Pelodiscus sinensis: one gene and its partners. Each later gene encodes a partner of the first gene's protein in a complex. Links are inferred from orthologs where the notes say so. Each region holds a gene or a part of one and is shown in the gene's direction. Other genes may lie near its edges.

Region 1 (10,113 bases):
TATTTACAACAGTAACATGAAAGATGTCATTCTTGCTATTCAGAGTTTATAGGGTGAATTTAATGCTATTACCCCCTAAGGAGATCTAGCAGAGTATGTCTAAACTACCACCCTAGTTCGAACTAGGGTGGTTAATGTAGCAACCGAAGTTGCAAATGAAGCCCAGGATTTGAATTTCCTGGGCTTCATTTGCATCTTGCCGGGCGCCGCCATTTTTAAAGCCCCGCTAGTTCGGACTCCTTGCCCGCGGCTACACGCGGCACGGAGTAGGTAGTTTGGATTAGGCTTCTTATTCCGAACTACTGGTACACCTCATTCCATGAGGAGTAACGGTAGTTCGGAATAGGAAGCCTAATCCGAACTACCTACTCCGTGCCGCGTGTAGCCGCGGGCACGGACTCTGAACTAGCGGGGCTTTAAAAATGGTGGCGCCCGGTAAGATACAAATGAAGCCCGGGAAATTCAAATCCCGGGCTTCATTTGCAACTTCGGTTGCCTACATTAACCACCCTAGTTCGAACTAGGGTGGTAGTGTAGACATACCCGCAGAGGGTAGCTCTGGCCAGGGATTTTTGCCATTGACTTCTGTAGGGCCAGGATTTCATTTAAAGTAGGATGATTTCAAGGACTGATCAGAATTTCTCATCTGAAGATCAGCTCTGGCCCTGGTCATGAGTGACCAAAGCTTCCTGGCCTCTGGTGTCTGTTCATTGGTTAATATAAAACAAGTTGGTATCCTCATCCCATTTCTTATAGGCATATCCATGACACAGGAACCACCATAAGCAGCATTAACCAGTGTCTGACCTGGAAGCCTCAGGAGAGCTACAGAGTGAACTACATTAAATGATGTTTAGATGTAGTCCCCTCCCTGTGCCAGTAGGAGCATGTTGACAGAAGGGAAACTTGAATAGTCGCATCCTATGTCGTACCTGATTTGTGGACAGAAAATGGAATTTGATTTGTCCATCACTTTCTATGTACTTGGTAAGTTAATATATTTTTGCTTTTTTTCCCCCTTGAAAGTTTTTTCTTCAGCAGCATAGCAGAGTGTTGAATTTATCCTAGTGCTGAAAGCCCTTCTAATAGCCATTATGATGAAACCAGTCTACCTTGTTTTCAGTGGTGCCCTAGGATTTAATACACCAATAAATTGTTGAAGTGTTGTTATATCCTATTTGAAAAGCAATTCATTTACTTTTATGGTTAAAACCACAATCATAAAACAGAACACCCTGGGCCATTTTCAGTCCTAGTGTAAGTGGCACTGCTTCATTCACTTCAGGGCATATGACCTAATCTAACTCTCAGTATGGGGGACTCCTCAAATGTCTTCTTAGCAGGGTTGAAGCGTCACTGAAATGTACTTGTATATCTCCATTTCATTCAGATGTGCTATTTGCTTCTAACTTCCATTTGTGGCTGATCTAGTGCATTATGTTAAATATTTGCTGAAAAAGGCCACAGGACAAGATCTTTGGATCAGGGACTTTATCTTTTACTAAGCTTTTTGAGCAAAATGCAGTAAAAATAACTGGAAATGTATAAAATTAGTGGATAAAATTGTTGGTTTCAGATTGGGACTTATTTATCATTTCTGAAAATGGAAGTAAGTGAAGAAGTGGGTTGTGCCCACAAAAGCTCATGATACCATCTACATTTGTTGTTAGTCTCTAAGGTGCTGCAGAACTATTCATTTTTTTCCCCAATTATAGACTAACACCTTAGACTAGTAAAGAACATGTTACTGAAATTCACAGACACTAAACTGGAAGAGGCCATAACCACCAGAGAGAACAGAAATAACCCAAAGGGACTTGAGCATTGAAACCAATATTCCCTCTATTTTTTCCATCTATGTGCAGAATAATTTTTATGTGAACCAGGGATAGAAACAAAATATCTAGCTGTGGGTACTGTGCTAATCAGCTGGGTGGCATCTGAATTACTCCTGAGTGACTGCATGAGGGTCTAGCTTATAGGAAACACTGGTTATAATGTTAAGTGCCACAACATTTAACTTTTAGACACCTATGTGGTTAAAAAAATGTGCACAGGAACAACACTAATCTACAAAGCTGAATGAGATACCTAGGATTAAAAATGTGATCCACAAACAACAACTTGCTAGGTAGGGAGCTTCCTAAACTAACCCATGGGAAATGCTGAAGAAAAGGATGCATGCTAAGCCACACCATACACTTCTCCAGCCTCATTCCCAGATAGGCACCTAAGTGCAGGCTGCAAGGAGGCACCTAGCTGCTTATAGCAATTCATGAACAAGGACTCACCAGCTGCAGTCAGCTTAGGTGCTCAAGTTATTTCTTGCAAGAATAAGTTAGGTGCCTTCGACGCTCCACACAAGATGCCTTATATTCTTCATCCCAGTGGCTAGAGCACTTACCTGCAATGTGGGAGACACAAGTTCATTGCCCTTTCTTCTTCCATGTGGGGGGGGGGGGGGGGGAGTGAAGAGGTGAAAGACAGCTTTTGAAATGTTAGGTAGATGCTTTTACTAGCCAGCTCTGAGATATTCTGAATTGGAATTCCCTTAGTATCTCCCCTTGAAGCTGTTCCACTGTGAATAAGTCACTGGGGGTATGTCTACACTAGCTCGTTAATTCGAGCTAGATAGGCAAATCAGGCAACCGGAGTTGCAAATGAAGCCCGGGCTTTAAATATCCCGGGCTTTATTTGCATGTTCCAGTCTGGCCGCCATTTTTAAATCCCCCTTAATTTGAACGAACTGCCCACGGCAGTTTAAAGTTAATCCGAACTAAGGACTTCATTTGCAACTCTGGATGCCTGATTTGCCTATCTAGCTCGAATTAACGAGCTAGTGTAGATATACCCTGGGATAGGAGGAGAATGACTAATCCAGGGTTTAGGACACATGCCTGCATTCAGCAGGAGTTCTGTGCCCTAATTGGCTGCTATATGATGCAGCTCCTTGCTTCAGAGCCCCAGCCTTTTCCCAGGCTTGGATTTAACCCTTGGGGCAGATGCCTCATCGCAAGTCTGAACAATAATTAAGTGGGACATCTCCACTAGCCCTTTTTCCTCAAGACTCACACTGCTGCTATCACCAATTCAGCTCCACTAGTGAGCACAACAGTGAGAATACTAGAATAGACAATGCTTAACAGCCATTGATGTTTCAAGCATAGCATCATCTAGACCTAATCTAAGCAGGATGAGTTTGCCCTAATGCTTAAGATACTGACACGCCTATTATTGCTATCACAGGTAAGATCAGTGGGAAATTTGAGACAAAAAAGCCTTGTTTAGCCACTCCATAAGAGGAGACATTAACCAACTTCATATATTATGCGGTAATAACACCAAGATGAAGAAGAATTATTTATGGGAGTACAGTTGGACATAACTAGGAATAATGATATAAAATTAAGAAAGAAAAATATCAGTAAAAGTATCCTAGGAATGACAGCTAATTAAATGGTAGCATAAATTGCAAGGAAAAAGAAAGGCATGGGGCTGGAGATGCAACTAGTCTGGATAAAGTACTAGACAATATACCGAGGGGTGCAACTATGCACTTGCTGAAAGATAGTTCTCCTCTACCCTTTCCATATCTAATGTTTTAAATACAAAAACCATAAAAACCAAAATCAACAAATGTAGTGTCTAAATAGCAAAACCACGGTATTAAACAAAACAAACCAGGATCAATCACACAATGAATAACTCAACAAAATAACCGTATGTTCTTATGCTGTGATCAGTGTTTTTCCTAATGTTAGTTGTATGCTTGTCAGCACTTTGGTTATGTTTAGATTTTAATCTCTTTGGGTGCAGGAACCAGGTACCTTGTTGTTAATGCACACATATTGTACTCCATAAATAATAGTTTGTTGAGCCAATGTTATGAAATGTGTGACATCCCACCTTCACTGAGCCAGTATCATTGTTCTTGGGAAGTTTAAAAAAAAAAAAGCACAGCTTCATTTCTTACAGTCGTGAGTTAGATAATCATTTCCAGTATGGAAATAGGGTAAAAATATGCAGCAGATATAATTCTTTATTTCAGTATCTTCAGCATCTCTCATAGCTAGATCAGGTAAGTGTCCTTTTTGAGGGCCTGTCCACCTTCCAGCCCGCTCATTGACTCCTTGTTATGGACAAGGTCTGGCCAGGTCCCTGAGAGCCCTTGACCTTTTTTAGGGGCAAGAGGAGTTTAAAAAGTCCAAAATTTTAGGAGGTCAATATCCCTGGCTGAGGGGCACACAATTTTTGGCTCTTTTGGATATGGCTCACTTTTTCTTGATCATCATGGGCTTGGTAGGGAACCCACTTTCCTGGGTTCCAGACTAGGAACCATACACAAGATAAATTCATGGAGTGTAGGTCCATCAATGACTATAAGCCCAGGTTCTGCACTGCTCTCAGCCTCTGAGTGTCTGAAACCGGACTAAAAGACAGAAAATAAATCATGCAATAATTTCCCAGCTTTGTTAATTCCTTTTAAAGCATCTGGCCTCAGTCACTGTTTGAAAGAATGGGCTAGAGCAGAGGTGGGCAATAAAACAGCAGCAGTTCCCCAGAGTGAGCCACTTGTGGGCTGCTGCCACTATATTTACCTGTGCTGCCACAGGTATGGGTGATCACAGCTCCCACTGGCCAGGAACAGCAGTCTGCAGCCAACGGGAGCTGTGATCCCCCACACCTGCAGAATGCAGGTAAATACAGTGCCATGGGGGCCCAACAGGGACTAACCCTAGTGGACTGCATTTGGCCTATTGTCCAATATTTGCCCACCCCTGATCTAGAGAGACCTCTGGTCTGACCCAACATGGCCATTGTTATGACAAAAGAGCATCAAGCTCTTCCAACTCCTTCATGTTACCCTTGTCTACCTAGCATACCTACCTTTCAAGCTGTTCCTCAGTTACCTTTTTGGTCCCATCCCCTAGAGGGTCCATATTCCTGAGGAGTATCTTACCAACTTGTTACTGAAGGCTGCTGCTCACCTACTTTTTGCTCTACATTTTTTTAAAATCTCTCAGCTGCTTTGAGTCCCCTGATCAGCCCCAGCTGAGCAGGCAGGCAGTTGCCCAATCTCAGTAACCCTTTTGTAGCCAAGACAGCATGGGGTCTGGACACTCCATGAGAGTATCCTTATTACTGAGTATTAACATTTGCACTTAGATTAATTTCGAGCAGAAATTAATCAGGTAATTTCACAGTAAACAAATTTGCCAAAGGCCTCGAGATAATAAAAATCTCAGTTCAAAGAGCCTGCTTCCCTATTAATCTGCTCCAGTCCAATGTCAATGTGTGCCTAACACTTTTAACAATAGCCTTCCAGGATTTAACGCAACAAGGTGTACTGAGCAGTTTATAAAATATGAGGCAGTAGCGGGGATTTCAACTGCCTTTGCACCTGATTTCGCCGAGTTTTACCTTTTCTTCTGATGCTTTAAATGCCAAGTCTTTCATTGTAAAGTGGGAGTCTGAGTTTCTTTCCATAAACTCTTCCAGAGGATTTGCTGACAGAGAGCGAAATTGGCTTTATAGCAGGTGTCCTGGTGAACCTCTGCCAGTTCTTTTAGGTCGGCAACGTGTTGTGCTTGGCATTTGAGTTACCAGCCGAGCTAGGGGTGGGGATGGGATGTAGCAATACTTTGGGCTCAGAGCTGTGGAGTGGGCCGTGTTACACAGTACCAGACAAAGACTGCGTGGCAGGGGGCAGAGAATAAGACCCTGGGCACAACCCAGAAAGCGCAGAGGTGACCTGGGCAGGGGAAGGGGCTTTCCTAGGGGGAAGGAAAGGTCCGTTTGGAGCCCAGGAGCAGGGGGGGGGGTCGGAGTGATCCCAGAAAACTGCGAGGGGTGGGGGGGATTATCCGGGGGAGACCTGACCCCAAGGGGCTCTGGAGCCTCACGGTTTCACACAGCCCCGAAGCACAAGTGTGGGGCGAGTAAGTCCGAGGGCGTCACCAGGCTCCGCGGCCAGCCCCCTCATGCCGCAAGGCAGCCGCTGGAGCGCGGGGCTCCTCGGGGGAACTCGGGGCTGGGGTCCCGGAGCGCGCACCTGGCGGCGGCGGGCGGGACTGGGAGGAGGATTCCTTTGGGGCCGGAGGGGCGAGGCCAGGCGGGGTGCGGGGGCCGGAGGCCGGGCCCGTGGACACAGCAGAGGCGGGGAGAGGGGCAGGGGAAGGAGGGAGCCAATGACATCAGCGCGGGCAGGGTGCATAAGGTGGGGGAGCCGCAGGAGCGGGGCGGGCGCGGGAGAGGTTCGCAAGTAGCCGCCGCTGCAGCTCCCTGCGCGGCCCCGGGCACCATGCAGCGCTCCCCCCTGGAGAAGGCCAACGTCTTCTCCAAACTTTTCTTCAGGTAAGAGCCGGGGCCGGGCGCGGGGGTCGGGCCCTGCGGCGGGCGGCAGCGCGCGACATGCGGCTCGGCGGGGTCCCTCGGATCCTGCATCCTCAGCCCCCGGGCTGCGGCCGCCGCGCGCCTGGCCGGAGTCGGGCTGGGGTTGCTCCCCTTCGCCTCGCGCTGCCCAGGTTGTTGCCGCCGGCGCCGCGCTCCGTGGTCTTCCCGGGCACGTCGTGCCTGTGTTCTGAACACTAGGGGCGGACACCGCTTCAGCTCGTGCCATCGATGCTCCCTGAGGGAGTGAATTCAGAGCGGGCTATCTGAGCAGCCCTGGGTAAACCGCGGCAGGCGGCTGTGCATTTCTCTGCAAGGTGTGAGAACTCCGGAGGGAATTTGCTTCGCCAGCACTTTTCTTGAAAGTGATTTTAGGGTCAACTCCCTAGACACAGATCTCGGTCAGACGAGTCCTGATGGATTGAAAGTCCGTGGCCCCTTTTCTCTTCTTTTTGCGTGTTCTCTTTCGTCCCCTTCCTCCACCACCATCACCACACGCAGTACACACATACAAATCACACATCTGAGAATCCCTTACCAGGAGCTGTGACAAGTAACACTTGAGATCATACGGGAGCAAGATTAGAAAGACAAAAATCGTCCTCCATATTTCCCCAACTTTGTACCTCTGACAGCCTACTGGGTGCACCCGGTTTCACGCAGCTACAAAGTTTTCCTTATTGCTTCCTATAGGCATCAATAGGGGTAAGAAAATCAGTTTATAAAATAGTAAACTGTGCTTATGAATGGCAGGAGGACTCTGGCAAGTGTAATAGAAATGTAGCCGTGTTAGTCTGGTGTAGCTGAAGCAAAATGCAGGACTATGTAGCACTTTAAAGACTAACAAGATGGTTTATTAGATGATGTGCTTTCGTGGGCCAGACCCACGTGGGTCTGGCCCACGAAAGCACATCATCTAATAAACCATCTTGTTAGTCTTTAAAGTGCTACATAGTCCTGCATTTTGCTTCTGGCAAGTGTGACCCCTCAGACTCACTTTTTAAAAATGGCTAGATTTCAGGATAACTTTGCCTCTTTTAAAATATTTTTGGGAGGTTAGTCCAGCCTCTAGTTTGTTTTCATCTTAGTTATTTCTGGGACATATCATAGAGTAAGTATCTTAGAATCTCTGATGCTTAAGCCTCAAAAAATATACTCCAAGAAAAAAAATGATCTCTGATCCCTTCTTTAGGCAAAAGTTCCCTGGTCTGAACTAGGACTTAAACACATGGTCAGTGTGAAGCATCTGCTTAAGTATCTTGAGTTATCCAAAGTCCATTGAACTGAAGGAGCATCTTTCTATTGACTTCAGTGGGCTTTGGATTAGGCCTGTTGTGAAACTGAAATAAATGCAACTAATATAACATTTATTACTCTGCAATTAAAAAAAAAGCATGCTGAAATATACTCAATGTTTCTCTCCTTGTCACCAATATGTAAACCATTTTATAATGCTAATTGGTGTGGTAGAAGAAAAGTCAACCCACTGAAAATAAACTTTCTTTGCAATAAACACAAAAAAATGTAAATACGGGCATACTTTCACAGTGAATGAAACTGGTAAACTAATAAATTTCTGTGTAGTACAAAGTTTTTGTTTATTTGTTGTCTAGGACATTTATATTACAAATGATTTCTTTGTTCCTTCTCAACATATATCATCCCTTTTACGATTCAGTGCTTTTGGAATGTTTTATTTGATACATCAATAGGCTAACACTAGTTAGATGTAAAAATGGTGAATATTAAGAGTTGCATCAAAACTCTTCTTTTAGAAGGGTGCCAGAATACATAGTTTTTATTTATTAAATTTGTTCAAAAGCTAACATTTTTAAACTATGAAAGTATATTGGTTTATTTGAAAATACATGCCTTTGCTATTCAGTTACCCAAACAGAGTATCTATCTCATAGGGTCAGGATAAATTTCTGGGGGGAAATATGTTATTGTAGTTGCTAGAAAGCAAGCTGACATACAGCAACAAGTGAAATTATCTAGTTATAAGAAGTGAAAAGAATTTAAGAAATACTATGTGTGATGAACTTTACAAAACCAGAACAATACTCTTGTATAGCATTAGGTAAACACTTGTAGATTCAATAAACTGGTTCATCCCATAAATTTGTGGTTAAATATTGGATTTTGCTGTGTTTTTTCTAAAATGATAGAATTTCATTTTGGTGTGTAATTGTATCTGCATAACAAGAGCAAACCCTGTTCTAGAAAGCATTCTCATTTAGAAAGCACTTAAGAATATACTTAAGGTTAAGCATGTGCCTTTTATGCTATCCCATGTACCAGGTTTGATGCTTTTATTATTCTAGTGTAGCATGAACAGTGCAGCTGAAATAAAATCAAGAAGTCAATACTTCCTTTGTTTATAAAATGAAATGGAAGAAAGTTACTTTTCCTTCAAACAACAATTATTTAACATTGTCCTATAATCTGTCTTCATGTAGTTTAAGACATTTTCACTTTCACAGTTTGTACTGGGTTCTGCTTCTTTCTTGGCTTTGTATTTGTAAAATGCCAATCTCGATGTAATGTAGTAGACTGAAGGTCACTGTACGACCATTTGAAATAACTGTGGTGAAACTTGCAGATAAGATACTATCCACCAGGGGAGTCTCAGTGATAAACATATCATTCATCATAGTGGTTCTCAGCTATCTGACGACAGCATATGAAATGTTAAGTAATATATTACTTTTTGCAAACCTGTGGCCAGATTCTTTGCTTAGATGCATGTGTCCTGCTTGGGAGATATGTGAACATAGCTGAGTAAGGAATTTGGATCTTAGTTTGTAACTAATGAAGTTAAGACAGATACATTTCAATGCTGTATTTGTACATTTTTTAAAATGTGTCCAATCTCTACCTTAAACCAAAGTTCAGACAATAACAAGTTTGATAAAGAATCAGTCACATATGGACTCTTAATAAGGGAATACCCATTTTTTTCTATGAATATTCGAGAAAGTGATCCAGGGTGGCAAAAAGAGAGAGCAAGAGAGGCTTGGTCAGTATAGACTATAAAAGTTCATAATTTAAAAATTAGATATTTTTGGAACCATTTACAACTATGAATAAATAAGTAGCTTTTGGTTTAGAATATTACATTTTTTTCATGCTGAAGACATGAAAAATAAACAAGGTAAGTAATAACTTTTACTAGGAAAACATTTACACAAGTTGTAATTATGCTACTTCTGTCTTTGCTATAGCTCCAGAATTGACAAGACATTATTCTATGCTTTGGAAACTTCTTATGTAGACAAACTCAGACTGGAAATAAGATGTACATTTTTAAAATTCAGAGTAATTAACCATTTGAACAACTTACCAAGGGTGGTGGTGAATTCACCAGCACTGACAACTTTTAAATCCAGGCTGGATGTTTTTCTAAAAGATATACCCTAGGAATTATTTTGGGGAAGCTCTGTATAGCTGGTGTTCTACAGGAGGTTGGACTAGATGATTGTCACCGGTCCCTTCTGACGTTGGGCTCTATGAATCTTGACTCAGAAAATAGACCCTGATCCAGGAAAGACTTAGGATATGTCTACTCCACAAGTTAAGGTGTAATTGTAGTGCAGATAGGAATACCCATTCCAGCTTTAATTTAGATAGCATGGGTAACAGCAGCGATGAATATGTGTCATCATGGAACCTGGAACAGACTAGCAACCCAAGTATGTACCCTGGATCACAAATGGGTGTCTG
Region 2 (9,843 bases), on another chromosome or scaffold:
CGCTGAAACATTTTGTGTTTGACATAATATTTTATTTAAAAATGAAGCCTGGCCAACAAGCCCCCAATTGGGGCCAAGCCCCCATCTGGCTGCAGCATCATAACACTCCTGCACCCCCCAAACCGCAAACCTGAGTCTATCATACACTGGAACCTCCTGTCCTGAGCCTCTCACATCCCCAAACTCCTGCACCCCCACAGCCGCAGTCTTCTGCCACAACACTCTTGAACCATCCACACACTGCAAATCTGGGTCCTGAGCCCATCATACTCCCAGCCTTCCTGTCCTGAGCCCCTCATGCACCCCAGCCCAAACTCCTGCACCCTCACAGCCACAAGCTTGCGGCTTGCTCAGCACCCCAACCTTCCACCTGATCCCAACACTCTCCAGCCTGGAGCCCCCTCCCTGAGCCAGCATCTTCTTCTCTACTTCCTCCTGCACCCAAATTCCTTCTCAGAGCTTGCACCTCTCACCCCTTCCCAGTGCTTTTTTTGTGAGCCACAATAGCAGTGGAGACAGTGTGAAAAGGCAGGGCAAAGTTGTTGAGCCAACAAACAAACAAACAAACAAAAGGCAGGGCTGTGAAGACTGGGGGAAAAGCTGTTAACAAATAAAGAAAGAAAGAAACAAACAAAGCAGCTGTGGGACAGTGTCTGCATGGTGGGGTTTTTTTTTCTTTCTCTCAACAACTTTGCCCTGGCTCTTCATGCTGTCTCCACTACTATTGTGGCTCTTCGTCTGGAATGGGTTGGCCATCCCTGCTCTATATCTTAAATCTCAGTTCTGAAAATAGTTGCAATACATACCTTTACTTCTGGCCACCAACAGATGGTAGCACATGAATATCAAAGTCTGGGACTGGATTTTCAGTCCTTCCACAAACAAAATTCTCCCTTTTGAATCAGAACCTAATCATGGAGTATGCACTCTGTAGAATATCTCCCTCCTGAGATCAAGTTTTTGTTTGAATATGGATTGCAGAATTAGGTGTTTGAACTGGCTGGTTCTTGGCAATTGGTAATTACCAGACAGTAATGATATTGTAACAATACTAAGCATTTGCTCTTCTTCAGCACATTTATCCAAGGTTCTCAAGGTACGACAAACATTAATTCCTCCTGTGAGGTAACCAGATTTTACAGATGTGGAAACTGATACACAAAACAGACATAACTGCCAAGTCTTGTGCAATTCAATGTGTGACATTGTATGCAACTTACAGATGTAGTATAGCTCATTAATTAAGTTATACATATAATACACATATGACCATGACTGTGGCTTCTGAAGTCAATGAACTCTTCCCCAAACAGTGGTAGGGACAGAACATGGAGCTGCACAAAATTTGTCAGCTGTGACAGATGAGTGCATGCTGAAGGGTTTCAGGGAAGGTGGGAAGTGCTGTGTGGGGAGAAAGCCAGGTTTGTGTAGAAGATGGAGGTGTCTGGAGACTGTGGCAGATTGGTGATAGTGGGGTCAATATGAGAGGTATATAAGGGAAGCTAGATTTGTCAAGGTTTCAGGTGTGGCTGGATAGTTTAGGGGGGATTGGAGGCTAGGGCCAGCTAGTTTTCTGGAGCTGGGGTTACTTGGTGGAGGAGTGATCTGCAGAAAGCTGGAGAAGGTCAGGAGGAAAAGACAGGGCCAGTTGGAGTTCCCAGGGTGGGAAGACCAGAGGGGACTGACTGGATTCAAATACCAAAGGAAAGAAGGGAGGGCTGGGATCCTTTGTGCCCCCTGCTGCTCTTTTCCTGCATAGGAAGGCCCTGCAGCAAGCTCCGCCACCAACATCCCACAAGCATGAGGCTGAGCTGCAGGCACACAGCAGCCTGACCACTGCAGGGCCAGATGGTGCAGGTCAGAGATGCTGCTCCTGGGAGCACCTCCTGGCCTCTGACCAACACCAACAGCTCTGGGCTGGTGTAGAGTGAGAAGCAGCTGAGCTTCAAAAGTCAATACCTAGGGTGTTGAGCACCTGCACTGGAACTGAGCATGCTCAGTAAGAGCTACTGTCCTCACTCTGCCCTTACATGGATTCAGATGCTGCTCCAGGCTTTTTACAATCATTAAAAGGGGGGTTAGGAGGCAATTGCAGTGGGGGATGGGCAGGGCAGGGCACAGAAATTAACCAGCCTCGGGAGTCAATTAACTTTAGTGTGAGGCAGAACAGGGGCTGGAAGGGAAAAATCGGGTGTGGGGGGGTGATTGGAGCTGGTGGAGGGGGAGATGCTGATAGGCCCTGTGCTGGGATTTTGCCCCCACACAGGGAGGGACAAAGGGGGTAACATTTACCTAAGGGGATGAGCCATCTGCCGCGTGTGCAAAGGCAGGGATGGGGGGGCACGAAGGGAAGCAGAGAGGGGTTTTATTTCCCCTCTCAGGGAGAAATGTACCAGTGCTGGAGCACAGGGCAGCTTCCTGATTGTGCTATTAAAGGTACAGCTGCCCTAATGCCTTGGCTTTCCTGGCTATCCTCCACAGCGCCTCTCTCTCTGCACTGCTACAGCACAGAAGATAGAATGCTGCAAACATTCCACATGCAGCATGTGAGGGAGTAACACATTTTGAGGATTTAAAAGTCTCCCATCAGTTTATACATGAAGTCTTTTAACAGTTCACAAATTTGTCTTATCTCTCGCTGTGATTCCCTGAATTACACACCCATCCTTGTAACCCATTTTAATGGTGGTTTTGCTCCTTTACAAATGTTCTCTCTTACTAGGGGGCTGCATCTCCTGCTCATTATGCTTGTCAACTCCCCCTGTCTGGGGGTAGGTGTCTGGCCAGGGGGGCAGGGTGCAAGAGGAGAGGAGGGTGCAGGAGCAGGCTGGGAATTCAGGGTCTCGTAGAAGAGGTGAGGGGCTCAGAGTGCGGGATGTTGGCTTGAGGGACAATGAGTGAGGGGGCTGGAGGTGCGGGGTCTTGTCTTGGAGGAGGTGGGGGCCACTTACTTGCTTCACACAGCTCCCAACACCATAGCTCAGGCATCATCTACCACTGCTTTTTAAAATCTTGCTAATTTGTTTTGCACTAATCACTCGAGTTAACTGCGAGAACTTTAATTTCCATGCCATTCTATAAGTTGAGAAGTTTCAGAGGGGTAGCCGTGTTAGTCTGTAACAAGACAAACTTAAAAAACAACAAATAGTCTGGTAACACTTTAAAGACTAACAAAACATGTAGATGGTATCATGAGCTTTCATAGGCACAGCCTACTTGAGAGTTTGCCCTCACCTGCAGTGTTGGCTGGGTTCACTTTTAGTCACTCAACCTCCAAAAAGATGTAGCAGACATGGAGAGATCTGCAAGCCACACAAAATCATTAGAGACCCGGAAAGGTTATGTGTGAAGAAAGAATGAACAGACTGGGACTGCATCATGCTGCCAGCAGACAGCCCTCAGGGGCATGCCAGTGTACACATACCAATGAATAAGTGGGCACACATTGGGGGCTTGAATGGTGGAGGGAATATGGCCCCAGAAGCTCCTCCCTGTGGTGCATCTGGCCTGCCTGGCAGGGGGAGGATGCGGCTCTGGGAACAGCAGCGCAGGAAAGCTCTATCCTTATTGTAACAGAGTCCAGGGACTGCCTCCAGGGTCCGACCCGTGCCGTATTCCCCGCTCTGTCCCTTCTATGCTTCTTTTCCCTGTATGGCCTCCCTTCCCCCAATGTCTATGTCCCAGAGTTCCGGTTGTACCCGTCACTCAATGTCTGAGCGGGGCTCTCCTCCTGGGTTCCGGTCTCTCTGCTCTGCTCTGGACAGGGCTGGGCACTCTGGGTTGGGGTCCTCTCGGCTCACCCACATCCCTCCGGTGACCTGCTGGGGAAAACACAACCAGCCTCCACTCCGCTCCTTCTGGCTCTCCCGCTCTCCCTCTCCTCCAGGTCCCAAGCCCCATCAGTTCTGGGCGCGTGGCCGCGCATGCACGGCAGACCCAGCACGACTCGGAGCCCGCTCCTCAGAGTGCCGGAGCGGCGCTGCTCTTAGTGCGGGGGCTCAAGCCCCTGTCACACCTATGTTCACTTGCAGGCTACACCCCAGGCACACCCATTGACCAGGAATTGCGGCCAGTGGGAGCATGGGGGGGCAGTTGCCTGCAAGCGGGGAGCCATGTAGAGCCACCTGCATCCCCCTTCCCTGAGCTGTGCTAGATAGTTGCCCCCACCTACCCAGAACATGCACCTTTATCCCCCTCTCCCACTCCTCACCCCTCCCAGACCCTGCACTCCCACCCCACGCCTATACCCCAGATCTCGCCCCTCTCCTACACTCCCAGACCCTGCAACCTCAGCCCACTACAGCACTCTACATTCTGCCTGCACTCCACACCAACTTATTGTTGGCCCCACCTCAGAACCGAAGGGAGACCCACAAAATCTACAAGCCCCAGGTTCCCAGAATAGTTAATCCAGCCCTGGTGGGAAGCACTGAGCCTTGGCCCCTCCTCCCACTTGTCAAGCATGAGTGAAGTGAAGCAAAATGAGGCTACATCTACACTGCAACGTATCCCACAATAGCTATCCTGCGTCTCCACAGCAAGCCCATTATTTTGGGTTTGCTATTCCGATAACCCTGTAAATCTCATTCTACGAGGAGTAAGGGACAGTTTGGAATAGCACTTGATTTTGAAATTTGGTGCTGATGACAAAATATGCTATTTTGAAATAGCATTGAAATAAGATACTCTATTTGAGTGTCTCCCTGTCTCTCTTTCCCCCTCTGCTTCTGAAGAGAGGAAGGGCAGCTGCCCCAGGGCCCAGTGATTTAAAAGAGCCCTGGGCCCTGCAAATCACTGCTAGTGCCCTGGGTGGCATGGGATGGGCTAGCTGGGGGCACAAACCCACAGTCCTACTCCTTCTGCCAGAGGCTCTGTACCAGTGATGGGTGCACAGGTGGTAAAGGCTGAACCCCCAGCCAACTGTCTGGCTTTGCTGCCCCCGGACCAGTGAGACGTGCATGGGTAGCAGAAACTGAGATGAGCCAAATCTGACCACTAGTGCGCCAATAGCTGCTACGGGAGCAGATCTGGAGACTGGGGAAGGGAGGGGAGGGCGAAGCGCCCCCTGGCGACGGCTCTGCAGCGCGCAGGGAACTGCAACAGCCCAGACCCGTCCCGCCTCCCGGGCCGCTGCAGCAGGCGGCGCCTGCGCAAAGTGTGAGTTGTCACATTTGGCGCTGGGATCGATGGCGTGGCGTTCGGCCAGGCTCCCTGAGGTGCGGTCTCAGTTGTGGCAGGCAGCACAAGTCAATCGACGAGCCCCGTCCGGCGACAGAGCGCCGCTTCGCAACCAGACTCTGTCAGCATTCCAGCGCATGCGCCGTGGGGTCGTGGTGCTCCTCTCACCAGAGCCAAGCGGAGGCTAGTGCCGCCGCATCCTGCGGGCGTTGAGGCGGGCGCGCGCAGGTGTGTGAAAGTGAGAGCGAGAGCCGCGCGGGCGTTGAGGCGGAGGGGCGCGCGCCCAGCGGGTGCCTCGCAAGGCCGCGAGGGGCGTCAACATGTCCGGCGTGGGGGCCGCTTCCTGCGCCTCGGGCTCCGGGGCCTGTGCCGGAGGGGCCGCCGCCGCCGTCTCCTCCCCGGGCGGGGGGGTGTCGATGTTCCGCTGGCTGGAGGTGCTGGAGAAGGAGTTCGATAAGGCCTTCGTGGACGTGGACCTGCTGCTGGGGGAGATCGACCCCGACCAGGCGGACATCACCTACGAGGGGCGGCAGAAAATGACCAGCCTCAGCTCCTGCTTCGCCCAGCTCTGCCACAAGGCGCAGACCGTGTCCCAGATCAACCACAAGCTGGAGGTGAGGGCGGGGGGGGGGACCTGAAAGTGGCCAGACGGGGGAGGAGGTTTGAAGGGGCACGCGGGGGGTGGGGCTGGGTAGCCGAGTGCTGAGTTATTGGGGGAACTGGGAAGCAAAGGGCTTGACCGACGCGGGGTGGGGATTTTCCCCAGTGCCCTGATTGCTGCCTTAGTCTCCCATGGGGCAGGCTGGGATTCAGGGTGTCTGTTCTGTCCACTGTCTTCTCTGCACTTGGCTCTAGCTAGCTGGGGCACCTTTTCCTCTCCTCAGTCATAGCTTGGCTTCCCATGGCAGCTATGGGCCGGACTAATGAATGACCAGTACAAAAACACACAACTTCTTAATTAGAATATTTTTTCACAAATCAAAACATCACCTAATCAGATGATCAAGTTAAAAAATCCATAACCAAGAAAGCACTCTTACCTAGTGAAAGAAGCAGGGAAGAGCATGCTTTAAAAATTCTCTGAACTCAGATATGGTGATGTGCAGTGTAAGAACCTGGTTGGGTTGTTAGGTCACCAACTGTGGTTCTCTCATTGCTCTATGATTCAGAAGTAACTAAAATTGCCATTTATATAGTCACCCCGAGCTATTAAACTAGCTAGAGCTGGTCTGTTGCAGAAATAGCTGACTGTAGGAAGAAAACATTTTGCCCATGATTTTAATCCCACTTCTTCTGGGTAGCAAGACATGGGTCTGCAAAATGTCTTTTGAGTATTAGTAATGCAGTAGCTAAGATTAGAGAATATTTAAAAGTAGAGTACAAGTTCAGTAGATCATCTCTGAGGGGTATCAGTGTTAGCATGGGGTGTTGGTGAAGGCAGGGCTGGGGGAGACAAGCTCCCATCCTCACATCGAGCCCCACCCCTTCTGCTGAGGCCCCATTTGTGCTCCCCCCTCCCAATCAGGGGGAGGGAAGGGCAGGAATGCGCTCACCCCAGCCTTTCCAGCCCCAGGCAGGAGACCGAGTACACGGTATGGCCCTGGCTTCACCAGCTCCGGAGGCGAGCGTGCCATGCAGCCCAGCCCAACCTCACCTCTCCAGCCCTGGAGCACCAGAAGAAGAAGGAGGGCGTAGGGTATGTGGCATGGCTCCAGCCTCGCCAGCCATGGCACACTGGGGAAAGGAGGAGGGCATGGTTGCTCAACTATTCGATAGTCTCTGGGGGCGGGGCTGGCAGCCAGGCACTCCCTGCCATCTTGTGCTGCTGCCTCTGATTGAGAGGCAACAGGGCAGTGTGGCATCAGCCCCTGTCCATGTGGTGCCTGAGCTCGCCGCAGACAGGGGCTGCTGCTTTGGAGCAGCTTCTGTCCACGGTGAGCCCAGACCCGCAGTAAGAGGCAGTGGAGGAGTGGACAGGCTGGTCCACAGAGCCAGCACACTCAGAGAGCTGGCTGCTTCCTGCCTTTCATGCTGCTGCCTCTCTATCAGGTTGAGGGGCAGTTGGATCCAGTGACCGTGGGGAGTCAGCTTAAAGCTGTCTACCTACAGGCACCGGCTCCTCCCTTCCGCCCTTTCCCCCGTTGGTGCCTCTGATACACATACCTCTGGTGCCACGTTCTACATTGACATCCCTAATAGAATCATGAGCTTTTTTGGGCAAAACCCACTTCATTGGATGAACTCTTCAATCAAGAGCTATGTATAGCAACAGACGTACCTGTCAGTTGTTAATGGCAGGAGAAATTGGCTTTGTAATATGCCAACTAGTTATGTCTTTGTTTTGTGTAAGTCCAGAGTAATTGTATCAAATCTGTAGATAAATTCCAGTTTTGCAGACTCTCTTTGTAATTGGTTAGTGATAATCCTTTGTAGAAAAATGGCTACTTTTAAATCCATAATTGAGTGACCAGGCAGGTTAAAATGTTCCCCTACAGGTTTATGTGTGTTACCATTTCTGATGTGTGTCCATTTATTCTCATTTGGCTACTATAGATGGCAATGGGACACTTGATGGCATATATCACTTTAGAAGATGTGCAGTTGTATGAGCCTCTGATGTTGTGGCTTATGTGGTTAGGTCCTATAATGCTGTTGCTTGAATAGATATGGGGATGGAGTTGGCAACGGGGTTTGTTGCAGGGGTAGGTTCCCAGGTGAGTGTATCTGAGGTGTGATGTGTAGATGCCGTAAAGGATTTGCTTCAGGTTGGGGGGGTTGTCTGTAGGTAAGGATTGTCCTCTCTCCCACGGCCTGTTAGTTTATAGTGAACAAAGTTGACTTCCTTATAGTTCATGGAAGTTCTTTCCAGACTGCTGTTTGTTGTATTATGTGTATGCGTGTTGCTGTACATTAGATAAGGCAAGTCTCCTGCTTGATAAATCTAATGCATATAGCCACAATATAGTGGTGCCATAGACTAAATCAGCATGGATAGCATGTTCTGGAAGAGCAATTCAGTTTTATTGTACCTTGGGAAACAGGTGAGTTTTATGATCTATTTGAAGGGGAAGGAAGATACTGGCAAATTCTTGTATAATTACTGGGGGAAACAATCATTAAGGCTTGAATGAAGGAAGAGAAAAAGGAAACAGTTAAGAGAGATGCTTCAGTGGAGTACATGGAGTGGGACTGAGACTGGATATAAGCAGCAATGAAGTCTGAAGGTGGTATTGGAATTGTGGAATGAGCAGAGGTAACAGGTAACTCTTTTAATGGGTGCACAATTTTCAAACTTTTTGAACTGAGCCCCTCTTGAAATTAAATTTTTTGGTTGTACCCCTCCTCCCAACACAGACAAAAATATGCAAGTCAAAGGAAAGAGGTAGTTCCCTTCCAAACACATGGGTCTGAAGACTGAGCTGCTACGCAGTGTTGCTCATCCCCTGGAACTTTTCTATATGTCCTTCAGTTTTGAAAACCTCTAATTTAAAGGTTGTGGTGTTATAAAAGCGGGGTTCTGGGCAGACTATATAAACCCTGACCAAAATCTGGACATGCATGCCCTCTCACATACATACACCTGTCCTCTGGGAGGGATTGCTTGAAAAGTGAGGACAAAGCTCTTAATTTTAGTTAAATAATTTTCTTTTGAGCAATTACTTTTAATATATCTTTGATATATACAGTTGGGGGGGTTTGATGGTTTTTTTTGTCTTTATCTTTTTGAAGTATCTTTTGAATGATTATTTTGTGCATTGTGGTTTTCATTCTATCCATTTTGGGCAATCTTAAGTTAGGGATGTGAAGGACTAATTGACTATCAATTTGCTGATTGGATAATTGACAGGATAGCTGACTAGTCACTTCCTTCCCCGCTTCCTGCCTCTATCAGATAGAGGCAGCAAGGCGGGGGAAGAAGAGAAAATGAGAACATAAGAATGGCGATACTGGATCAGACCAAAGGTTCATCCAGCCCAGTATCCTGTCTGCCGACAGTGGCCAATGCCAGGTGTTCCAGAGGGAGTGAACCGAATAGGTATTGATCAAGCAGTATCTTTCCTGCCATCCATCTCCATCCTTTGACAAACAGAAGCTAGGGACACCATTAATTACCCATACTGGCTAATAGCCATTAATGGACTTAACCTCCATGAATTTATCTAGTTTTCTTTTAAACCCTGTTATAGTCCTAGCCTTCACAACCTCCTCAGGCAAGGAGTTCCACAGATTGACTGACTGCACTGTGTGAAGAACTTCCTTTTATTTGTTTTAAACCTGCTGCCCATTAATTTCATTTGGTGGCCCCTAGTTCTTATATTATGGGAACAAGTAAATAGCTTTTCCTTATTCACTTTCTCCATACCACTCATGATTTTATATACCTCTATCATATCCCCCCTTAGTCTCCTCTTTTCCAAATGGCTCTGCTGCTTTGAAAACCTGCATGCAGCCCAGGGCCCGCTAGGGTGTCCTCAGGCTGGCATTTCAAAGTGCCAGCAATGTGGGGAGCCCAGGATCCCCAGCTGACCCTGGGCTTCATCTGGTGCTGCCACTTTGAAATGCTGTAAGAAGCCCAATATCAGGCTCTTTGCAGTATTTCAAAGCAGTAGCACCGCCTGGAGCCCGGGATCAGTTCAGGCTGTTGTTACACTTCGGAGGCGGAGG
Region 3 (9,721 bases), on another chromosome or scaffold:
GCCGGCTGCACGCGATGCCGCCGGTCCCCTTCCAAACCGCGCCAAAGAGTCACCTGTACACGCTCGTGCTTCACACGCTCCACTTCCCCACCTTCATGTCCCGCCCAGACACCAAGTGGTGGGACCTCCTACCACCAATGGAGGGTGGGGAGCCCCGGTGGGCCAGCCTCTATTCGACCTTGGTGCCACAGCCCACCGGGGACATCTGCTGGAGAATCCTGCACGGCACAGTGAGCACAGGCGTGTACTTGGCGCGGTTCAACCCCACCCCCGACATGTGCCTCTTCTGTGGCGTGAGGGAGACGCTGGCGCACATCTACATCGAGTGCGCCAGGCTACAACCCCTCTTTCGGCTCCTCCAGAACCTCCTGTTGCAGTTCTGGCTGCACTTTTCCCCCCACTTGTTAATTTACGCATATCCCATCCGTGGCCCCACAAAGTCGCGGGACCTCCTGGTCAACCTCCTCCTGGCTATGGCCAAATGGGCAATCTACAAAACCAGGGAGAAGAGGTTGGCCCGGGGAGGGGCCTGCGACTGTGGGGCCTATTTCCGTTCCTGCATCCGCTCAAGTATCCGGGCAGAGTTCCAATGGGCAGCATCCGCTTGCTCTCTCGAGACCTTCGGGGGGCAGTGGGCACTGTCTGGGGTTCTCTGCTCGGTGTCCCCATCCAGTTCCCTCGTTTTAACCCTTTGACCCTCACACCCGTACCTGTTTTTTCATTATTTGTCCCCAGTAATTAGTTGGTTTTTCCAGATTCAGTGGACCCTCCCCTCAGGATGGGGGGAGGTCCTTTAGATGTGGGCGGGCTAATGCCCGCCCACCTCCTGGATACCAAATAGTACCAACTGCTCCAAGAAGCAGTAATTTAAGGTATCAAGAAATTTTAGCTCTCCATCCCATCCTGAGGTGATGTGTACTCAGTCAATACGGGGATAGTTGAAATCCCCCACTAATATTGAGGTTTTTTATTTTGATAGCCTCTCTAATCCCTTTGAATTAAGGATGTTAAAATGTGGTTAATTGACTAATTTTCCATTGACTAGTCAATAGGCACTTGTACATTTCAAAGGAAGAATGAGGAACTCCGCATAGAGTCCGGTGCCAGCAGGAAGTCCCGCTGACTCCGGGCTGCATGTGGGTGCCTGCTTTGAAATGCACAAGAGTCCCCAGCAGTCTTGTGCATTTCAAAGCCATGGAGCCTGGGGTCAGCTGGGGACTAAGAGTCCCCCGCTGATCCCGGGCTCCATGCTACACTGAATGCTCCTAGGAGTTCTGAGTGGCACTCCCCTGAAACCTGGGGTCAGCTGGGGACTCCCCAGCTGACCCTAGGCTCCCGACAGCATTTCCCTGGTACCCGGGATCAACTGGGGAGCCCTCAGCAGACGCTGGGTTCCACTGTTGCGGGGAGCCCGGCGTCAGCTGGGAGTCCTCAACTGATCCCAGGTTCTGGGGAAGTGCCACATGGAGCTGTGCAGTGGGTTCCCCTTTGAAACTGCCCCCTCCACCCATTTTACAAGGGCAGTGGAGCCCAGGGTCAGCTGAGGACTCCCCAGCTGACCCCCAGCTTTGTGCTGCACTTCCCCGGAACCTGAGATCAGCTGGGGAGTCCTGCCTGCGCAATGCCTGTGCCCTGAGCACTAGCTCCACACTCCCATTGGCTAAGAACCTGCTGCCAGCAGCTTCTGAGGCACAGCATGGTCTATGGTGTCAGTCGAGGCAGGAAGCCTGCCTTAACACCCCTGGCTGCACAGCTGACGGGAAGCTACTCAAGATAATCCCCTCCTATCTCGGCCCTAATCCCCCAAAGCCAGAGCCCCCTTCTCCTACACCCAAAAGCTCTCTTCCTCAGTCCCACCCCAGAGGCCACGCTTTAGTCAAATTATGTTGGGTTGCAGGCATCAATAATTTTCTTCAAATGGGTCACAAGGAAAATAGTTTGAAAACCACTGGACTATATGACCTCCTGAGATCTTCCAACCCTAATTTTCTATTATTCAGTTTTCAGGTTGATTTACGGTGAAATTTAGTCTTGAGAATACAAAGGAATAGATTGCAGTAGCAAGGTTTGCAACCAAAAGAAACAATTATATTCCCCTGCCCTGTTGGTGACTGAAGAGAGTTTTCTTGATCACTGGTCTATATGACCCATTAAACAACAGCTGGGGATACCACAGACTGCAAACTTTTATTACACTGGGCTAGCTTAAACCTGCCAATTAAGGGTCAGAAATAACCCTTGCCATATCTTCCAGTTCTTTCAGCATTGTGTCAGTGAGCTTCATACAACTAGCTCTTCTCCATGATTCAGACTCAAGTAGGCACTGAATAGGGTTCATCAGCAGAAGCTCAACTGGGATATGTCTATACTATGGGATAAGGTTGAATTAAGATATGCAACTTCAGCTATGTTAATTGCGTAGCTGAAGTCAAAGTACTTTAATTGAACTTCTGGTGCTGTCCACACTGCAGGAAGGTGAAGGGAGAACACTCTCCCTTTGACTTCTCTTACTTCTTGTGAAAGCAGGGATCACCCAATGAAATTAACAGACAGCAGATTTAAACAAACAGAAGTCCTAACCACACACTAAATAAAGAATCTCAGCCACTAATACCTTCATCTTCATGGTCCCCATGAAATCCTGGATTAATATAGAGAGCTCATCATCCAAGATTGATGTTTAAGTTACTGAGAAATGTCATCCTTGGAGATCCCAAAACCATTGTGGTAAGAAACTATATTAGGTCATGCAGGAACTTTGCAATGCAGCAGGATGATCTGCCTATTAGAATAAGTCCCAGAACTCTCACAAGTGTGCATTTAAAAAGTCTCAGAAGTGTAGCCATATCAGTCTGTAACTTTAAAAACAACAAGTAGTCCTGTAGCAGAATCATGAGTCTCTAAGGTGCAACAGGACTACTCATTTTTAAAGTATGCATTTAATTCAGCTTTGAGGTACAACTCCTGCATTTCAGATTAGCTATAAAAAACATAACCACAATACTTCTTCCTCCTCTTAGGCTCAAGCGGCCTGTACTCAGTGCCTGTCTAAAATCAACTATGCCAAAACTGGTCCAGCGGGATCATTCAATCTGTATTTAAGAATTGCATGCAAGACTGTTGGGGAGGGGTCACCTTTAATTAAATCATGGCCAGATGACACTTTAATAAACATTTATCTTACATATAACAGCATGTATGATCATAAGATTGGAATATTTGTCCACTGATATTGCCAACCTCTAGATGAAACCAATGGAAGAGACTGAACAATTTCTTGTTTAAACCAGGATTTCTTCCTGCCTTGTCTCCCCTGTCCATTAACACAAGGATCGAAGAATCCTAAACTTTCCAACCAAGCCCTTCATACCAAGCCTTTTTATCCACAATACAGAGCAGTTGTTCTACCTTCTTGGACACCTTCAAGGGACATAGCAGCCAAATCTGGTTGCCAGGAAAAAGATTTCCAGGGCTGGCTGCAAAACTTATTTTCTAGTCAGCAGAGAGAAAATAACCCTTCCCTGCTTCTGAGGCTCTTGCCTTTACATGAAAAATTACCAAACTTCTTCCAAACACCATCATTAGGTAAAGAAACGAGGACAAATTTATACCATCCCTTTTCCTACCTTTTTTCTCCCTGTCCCCCTTCCTCTCACTCCTACTCCAGACTAACCGCTCCAAAAAGACATAACTCCTTCCATCATAAATGTCTAACTCTTGGAAAAGGAGGAGTTCTTGTCTGCATCATCAACTGCATATTTTTACTGCTGAGGAATCAAAGATTGGTGACATGGCCTGAAATCAAGGAAAACTCAATCCACATTTTTTTGTTTTGTCATATGAATCTTTCACTTCCATCGAAGGAAAAAGGCAAACTTATCCACTCAAGTCTACACCCTTCTACAAATACCCCCTCATCAACTATTCCCAAATACACAAAAGAGGAAAAAAAGCCTTTAAAAAGTGCTCAGTCATTTCTCAAGATATGCTGACCATCATGAAAACCCAGGATAGACACAGACTATTATTGAAGGGGAGGAGAAAAATAATTTTGAATGTTAACTCCTTTTCATTCCCTCATAGCTCCCACCCATTTACCAATCAGCAACACACAATCATTTTCCACACCTCCCAATATCCATCTATTATTTCCCCAAGCACACCCCAACCAAACTAGTCCAGCATCACCCACCTATTCCCCATAAATTTTCCTGTAGTAATACCATCCACCACCCTATCCATCCCAGAATCCACTAATCCTTACAACCCACCTTCAACAGCTCACTGGTCTTTCATTATCCACTGCCATAGCCACATCCTTTTGAACCCCCAGTAGCTACTTTCACAGCACCCTAAACTTCAGTGGCACTTAACTAACCTTCATACTCACCTTTCAGTAATATAGCTCACAGCACGTCCCACCACCTCTATCCCCCCTCCTGCCGCCCCCACCCCTCCATCAGAGTAAGGATGTTAAGGGCTACTCGATTAGTCGCTCTTCCCCCTTGCTGCCTCTATCAGATAGAGGCAGGCAGCAAAGAGGGGGGGAAAGGGGAGGGGTGGGGCAGCGCCGCATGGAGCCCGCACCGACCCCATCAATCCCCAGTGATCCCTCAGCGTCCATTCTGCACCTCCCCTCTAGCAGTGCACGCTCCCTCCCTACAACGCCCGCCCTCCATCGCCCCGCGCTGCCACCCGCTCTCCGAACCCGGAGTCCCCCTCTGCCCCGCCCAGCCGCAGCAGCACGAGCCGCCCAGCCGCACCTCCGCACTGTCTCGTGCCGCGCCCAGACTAAGCTTCCAGTGCTAGGGCAGGGCGTGGAAGGGAGGAGGGGGGGGGGTGTAGCAGTATTACCATAGTTACAGTGACGTTAGCTCACCCTGGATCTAATTGGAGGAAACCCCGTGGCCCCAGCCGCAGCCCACGGACCAACCGAGCTTGCGCCCTGATTGTGCCCACCCCCGCGACGGCGCGCTACGTCTGGATTGGCTAATCGCACGCGAAGGGCGGGTCCCGGCTAGGAGCAGGCGTTCGGATTGGCCGTAGGAGCGCGGGTCTAGCAGCGGGTAGGGTTGCCTGTGCCAACGCCCTTTAGCGCTGGCTCTCGCCTGAGATAGGAGCGGCTCTTTCTCCTCGCCCCAGCCCCGAGCGGAGCGCACCCGATCCAGCGGCGTGAGCCGGCCCGGCCTTGCGGAACGGACCCAGGTGAGCGGGACCGAGATCGGCCACGGGAATGAGAAAGGTCGCCGCGTCCTCCATTTTGTGAGCGCGGCGCGGAGTCTCCGGCGGCGCCGGGAAGCGGGAGATGCCGCCAGCGCCGCCGCCATTTCGCACCCGGCGGCGCCCCGGGACGCAGCGCTTTCCCCTGGGCACGGGCCACGCCCTGCCCTGCAGAGAGCTGCCGAGCGCCGTTCTCCCCGGCAGAACGGCCGGGCCCGGCCTAAGGCGTGGAGCTGCCTCTCCCCCGCCCGCTCCGGGCTCAGCCTGCAGACCCCACCCACCCGGGCTGAGCGAGTCCTGCCCGCCGCACCACCCAAGGGGATGGGACTCCGGCGTCCCCGCCCTCCCCCGAGGGATCGAGACTCGCCGCCCTGCCGGGGAGGTTCGGGCAGTGGTTTCCCAGTGCTGCCTCTTCCCCGGCCTTGCGCTGGGGACGCGGATCCCTGTGAGCGCCCGGCCTGCTCCCGCGCCGCCTCCTTCGCCAAGGGACAAAGATTCCCCTATTGTGTCTCCTTATCTCGGGGCACCCCCCCATCTCTGCCAGCAGCGGGGGCCCCGCTTGCCCCGCGGGAGCATGAACTGCCATGCCGTCCTCGGATCCTCTTGTTCCGGGGCCATTGTGTCCCCAGACGCGCGCTAGATACCTGTCTTCTCCTTCCCGTGTCCTCTGGGGCAGTCTCATCCTGTTCGTCCTCCTGTCTCTGCCCTTCGGTCGGTGGTTATTCTACTAGCCCCATTCCCCACGGTACCCATGTTTAAGGCAAATCTCTCTGAAACAAGGCGTAGAGGGAAGCGTTTAGGCAGGGCTCCTGGAGATAGCCCCTTTAGGTTAATGGCTTCCAGCCGTCTATTTCTTCTCCTCCCCCTCTAATTTTTTTTAGTATTCCCGGGCTGCAAGCCTGGCTAGTGCACACAGGAGTGAGAGGGAGGAAAGTGGAGGTGGAAACAAAAGCCACTCTGAAGAGACTGGAGTGCCTTTTCCCACCATCTGCTCTGTAGATTGTGCTCCAGTGGGGAGGGATTGAGTTATCTTTTCCCCTGTCATGGTTTCTGGGTTATTAACCTTCTGTAGAGACCCTGGAGCACTTGTCCTGTGACCAGTTCCCTGTGAAATGGGCTGGCTATATAAGCCTAAGGTTCTTCATTCCAAGATAGCTTTTGAGGTGGTGTAGTGGTGGAGATCCTTTATGGTCTGTGATTCTTGATTAATAGAATGATGATTGGCTTGATGTCTTCTGAGTCTTGGAGAAGGACAGAGTGTGGTGTCCTGTAGTTTTTGGCTCCCAGAGTCATGGCTAATCTGTTTCCCCTCTGGCAGGTTTTGAGGTGCCTTCTCCTTTTGACAGTGTGACAGCATCAGCTTCTCCTTCTGCCTTGCTGCCCTTTCCCCACTGCCAGCCACCATGGAGAAGACCGAGATGATCCAGAAAGCCAAGCTGGCTGAACAGGCCGAACGCTATGATGATATGGCTACCTGCATGAAGGCAGTAACCGAACAGGGTGCAGAGTTATCCAATGAGGAACGCAATCTGCTCTCGGTAGCCTACAAGAACGTAGTGGGGGGACGGCGCTCTGCCTGGAGGGTCATCTCTAGCATTGAGCAGAAAACAGACACCAATGACAAGAAGATGCAGCTTGTCAAGGACTATCGGGAGAAGGTAGAGTCTGAGCTCCGATCCATCTGCACCACTGTGCTGGTGAGTGGGGGATCTGGGGATACATCTTGCAGTCCTTTGGAAGTGACATATAAAGCATCTGTTCTTAGCTCTGTTGAGATACATAGGTTTGGGTGTGGGAGATCTGTGTGCAACACTCTGCTGGGGTGTGGGATAAGCCATTGCACCACTCTACTGAGGGAAGCAGGGATAGTTAGTTGTAATGAAGTGTGGGAAAGGAGGATGCAGTGAGAGGGAAGATCAATATGGATCACTCCTGTAATTATGGGGGCTACGGAAGGATTTGAGCTCGAGATTGTGTGCACCATTGTGTAAGTACAGCAGATAGTTGAGCATAACAGGGTTGGAAGGAAAAACAAGGATGCTTCTTCCTTTTGTGGTTCCTGGTTAATAACGCTTTTGTAACCATCCAGGTTAACCAGTGTAATATCTGAATGACCGGCTTTGGAGTGCTCATTTGGGTGGTGGTCACAAAATTCTGTTACCTTAGGTCAAGAGGAGATTTGTATAACATGAATAATTTCATAAGAGGTCTTGAAGTAAAAATATACTGTATAAAATATAAAACCTTAAGAGTCAAGTATTAAATCTGTAGAAAAGCAGGCATTCGGCACTTGCAAATATACTTCTCAGACTGCCTATTACAATAGAGATGCAATGGTTGTAGAATAATGCAAAACTACCAATGATTTAAGCTTGAAAGAAGTACTGCAGATGAATATATAATAGTACAGCAATGTTTGTATTTTTTTTACTGTACCCTAGTCATCTAGATGATCATAATAGTACAAATATGCTGCAATACAGTGGGTGCTGAATCTGTGTCAGCCGTGAAGAATATGCAGCACCCTATTCCAGAGGATCAATTAAAGTTCTGGCTGCAGAAAGTTAGATGTGCAATACAGCTGGAAGCAATAAATAATCTTGAATTACTTTATCACCAGTATAATGATAAAACAGCATTTCAGGTGGTATCTTAGGAAGAGGTGATAGCAAGTTCATAAAATAAATGTGTTTCAGATTTATCCAGGTGATCAGGAGACTAGTTGTCTTTTTCAGTAGTTATTGAGAAGCAAATTCAAGCCAAGAATTCTAACTCATTTGACAAGGGGGGGGGACATCTTTCTGGGTTGTGTGGAGATACACATTCCAATATATGCTGCCACCTAGTTTTTTGAATTAAAAATATGAGTTAACAATTGTAAGCCGTCTTGCAAAGTTGTATATGAAACAACCTGGTAAATGGGTCAAACCAATTATTTTTCCTTAACACTCTTAGAGGATATTTCATTTCTTTAAAAACCTGTTAATGTTTCAGACATGGTTAAAATTTTGGTAAAACTTTTTTTTAATAGCATGACTCATAAACCACAGGTTTAGAGTAATTCTCATTTCCTGTGACAAAATTCTAATTAGATTTAGTGATGTGCTGCCAATATTTTACCATGGAGCTCCCTCACACCATCTCTCCTTTTCTGTGATGAAGTCTAGCCACCAGCATGTTGAGATTGGTACGCACAACCAACCCTCCAGACTTTGAGGCTTTACCCCTTTACTTCCTGTCAAATGGCATTCTCAAGAGGTTTTGTGATAAGTGGCCTAATGGCTCTGGAACTGAATGAGATGTGAACAGTGAGCCAGCTCTTTTGGGGTCTTGTCTATACTGAAGTTACATAGTTAAGGTAATTGGTGCTTAGTAACAGATGTAGCAGTGCTAATGCAAATGTGTAGTGTTCACAAAGAGTATTTGAGTATCTGTTTGACTGGACCTGCTCCCTCTGCTCTCATCTGGGGTCTGATTGGCAACTGCCTGGTTTAATTTGCCCCTAAAATCTGCAGGAAGTAGTGAAGACAGAACATACAAAGTCACATGCTTTTCCTGTTCCCTGTCATCAGCAAAGACACTGATGCACAACTTCCTGTGGGGGGTGGGGGGGAGGTTCATTATGAGTTTTCACTGCTAGTTATGATACTGCTGCTTTTCCTCCCAGTACCATCTGCAGTTCTACCCCACTTCTTCTTGGTTACCTTCTTCATTCTGCTACTTTGTTCCATGAGTCAGCAACTGAAAGATTGAAACTGCCACTATAAAGAATAAACTTCCCAGCGTTTTCAATAAGAAGTAAAAGAGACTATTCTGTTTAGTATCAGAGGGGTAGCCTTGTTAGTCTGGATCTGCAAAAGCGACAAGGAGTCCTGTAGCACCTTATAGGCTAACAGATGTATTGGAGCATAAGCTTTCGTTGGCAAAGACCCACTTTGTCTTCACGTGCATCTGACAGAGTGGGTCTTTGCCCATGAAATCTTGTGCTCCAATACATCTGTTAGTCTATAAGATGCTACAGGACTCCTTGTCACTTACTCTGTTTAGCCTTCTTCAGCACATGATAACTTTTAAATCAAATTTCAGAATAACTTTGAAATAAATTGGTTTCCAGGAATATTAAGTTCCTACTCTGGTAAGGTATCTGAAAGATTATCACTTAAGTACAAAACTTCTCTATTGTATGATAAATGTAAGAACGGCTTGCAAATAATATGGAAGGGTTCCTTGTCAGTCACTAAACTCTGATCTAAAAAGGGTAGATATGTTGGGTGCAGTAGGTGGCTGTTTTTACTTGGTTATGTAACTAACAAGTAAGCTTTATCACTGTCAATGCAGCATAAACATTTCTAAAAGTTGTGCTGTTTTAGAAATCTGCATTTATAAAGAGTTTTAGCAGTATTTTGCATGATACAGTAGAATCTCTGATGTTTGTAACCCTGAATTACTCTGACCAGTCAACCATGCACATCATTTGGAACTGGAAGTATGCAATTAGGCA

The links. Proteins that work in one complex are often made in the same cells at the same time.
Region 2: the proteins of CFTR (region 1) and GOPC are in contact, whole or in part, in an NMR structure (PDB 2LOB), measured with the Homo sapiens proteins. The link is inferred for Pelodiscus sinensis from reciprocal best matches to the Homo sapiens genes CFTR and GOPC. Residues at the interface, in NP_000483.3 of Homo sapiens: Val1475, Gln1476, Asp1477, Thr1478, Arg1479, Leu1480; in NP_065132.1 of Homo sapiens: Gly298, Leu299, Gly300, Ile301, Ser302, Ile303, Thr304, Gly305, Glu308, His309, Glu317, His319, Thr347, Lys348, His349, Lys350, Glu351, Val353, Leu356.
Region 3: the proteins of CFTR (region 1) and YWHAQ are in contact, whole or in part, in a crystal structure (PDB 7QI1), measured with the Homo sapiens proteins. The link is inferred for Pelodiscus sinensis from reciprocal best matches to the Homo sapiens genes CFTR and YWHAQ. Residues at the interface, in NP_000483.3 of Homo sapiens: Arg764, Arg765, Arg766, Gln767, Ser768, Val769, Leu770, Asn771, Leu772, Met773, Thr774; in NP_006817.1 of Homo sapiens: Asn38, Arg41, Asn42, Ser45, Val46, Lys49, Arg56, Arg60, Glu113, Phe117, Lys120, Arg127, Tyr128, Glu131, His164, Pro165, Ile166, Gly169, Leu172, Asn173, Val176, Glu180, Ile217, Leu220, Asn224, Leu227, Trp228.

The regions. Positions count from the first base shown.
Region 1 is NC_134711.1:45,168,714-45,178,826, reverse strand, and holds the start of CFTR (cystic fibrosis transmembrane conductance regulator), read left to right. Parts: upstream 1-6,181; 5' UTR 6,182-6,301; coding exon 6,302-6,354; intron 6,355-10,113. UniProt on the Homo sapiens protein: Epithelial ion channel that plays an important role in the regulation of epithelial ion and water transport and fluid homeostasis. Mediates the transport of chloride ions across the cell membrane.
Region 2 is NC_134713.1:84,048,734-84,058,576, reverse strand, and holds the start of GOPC (Golgi-associated PDZ and coiled-coil motif-containing protein), read left to right. Parts: upstream 1-5,171; 5' UTR 5,172-5,498; coding exon 5,499-5,792; intron 5,793-9,843.
Region 3 is NC_134713.1:27,904,373-27,914,093, forward strand, and holds the start of YWHAQ (14-3-3 protein theta), read left to right. Parts: upstream 1-5,049; 5' UTR 5,050-5,205; intron 5,206-6,538; 5' UTR 6,539-6,623; coding exon 6,624-6,917; intron 6,918-6,923; exon of another isoform or gene 6,924-9,721. UniProt on the Homo sapiens protein: Adapter protein implicated in the regulation of a large spectrum of both general and specialized signaling pathways. Binds to a large number of partners, usually by recognition of a phosphoserine or phosphothreonine motif.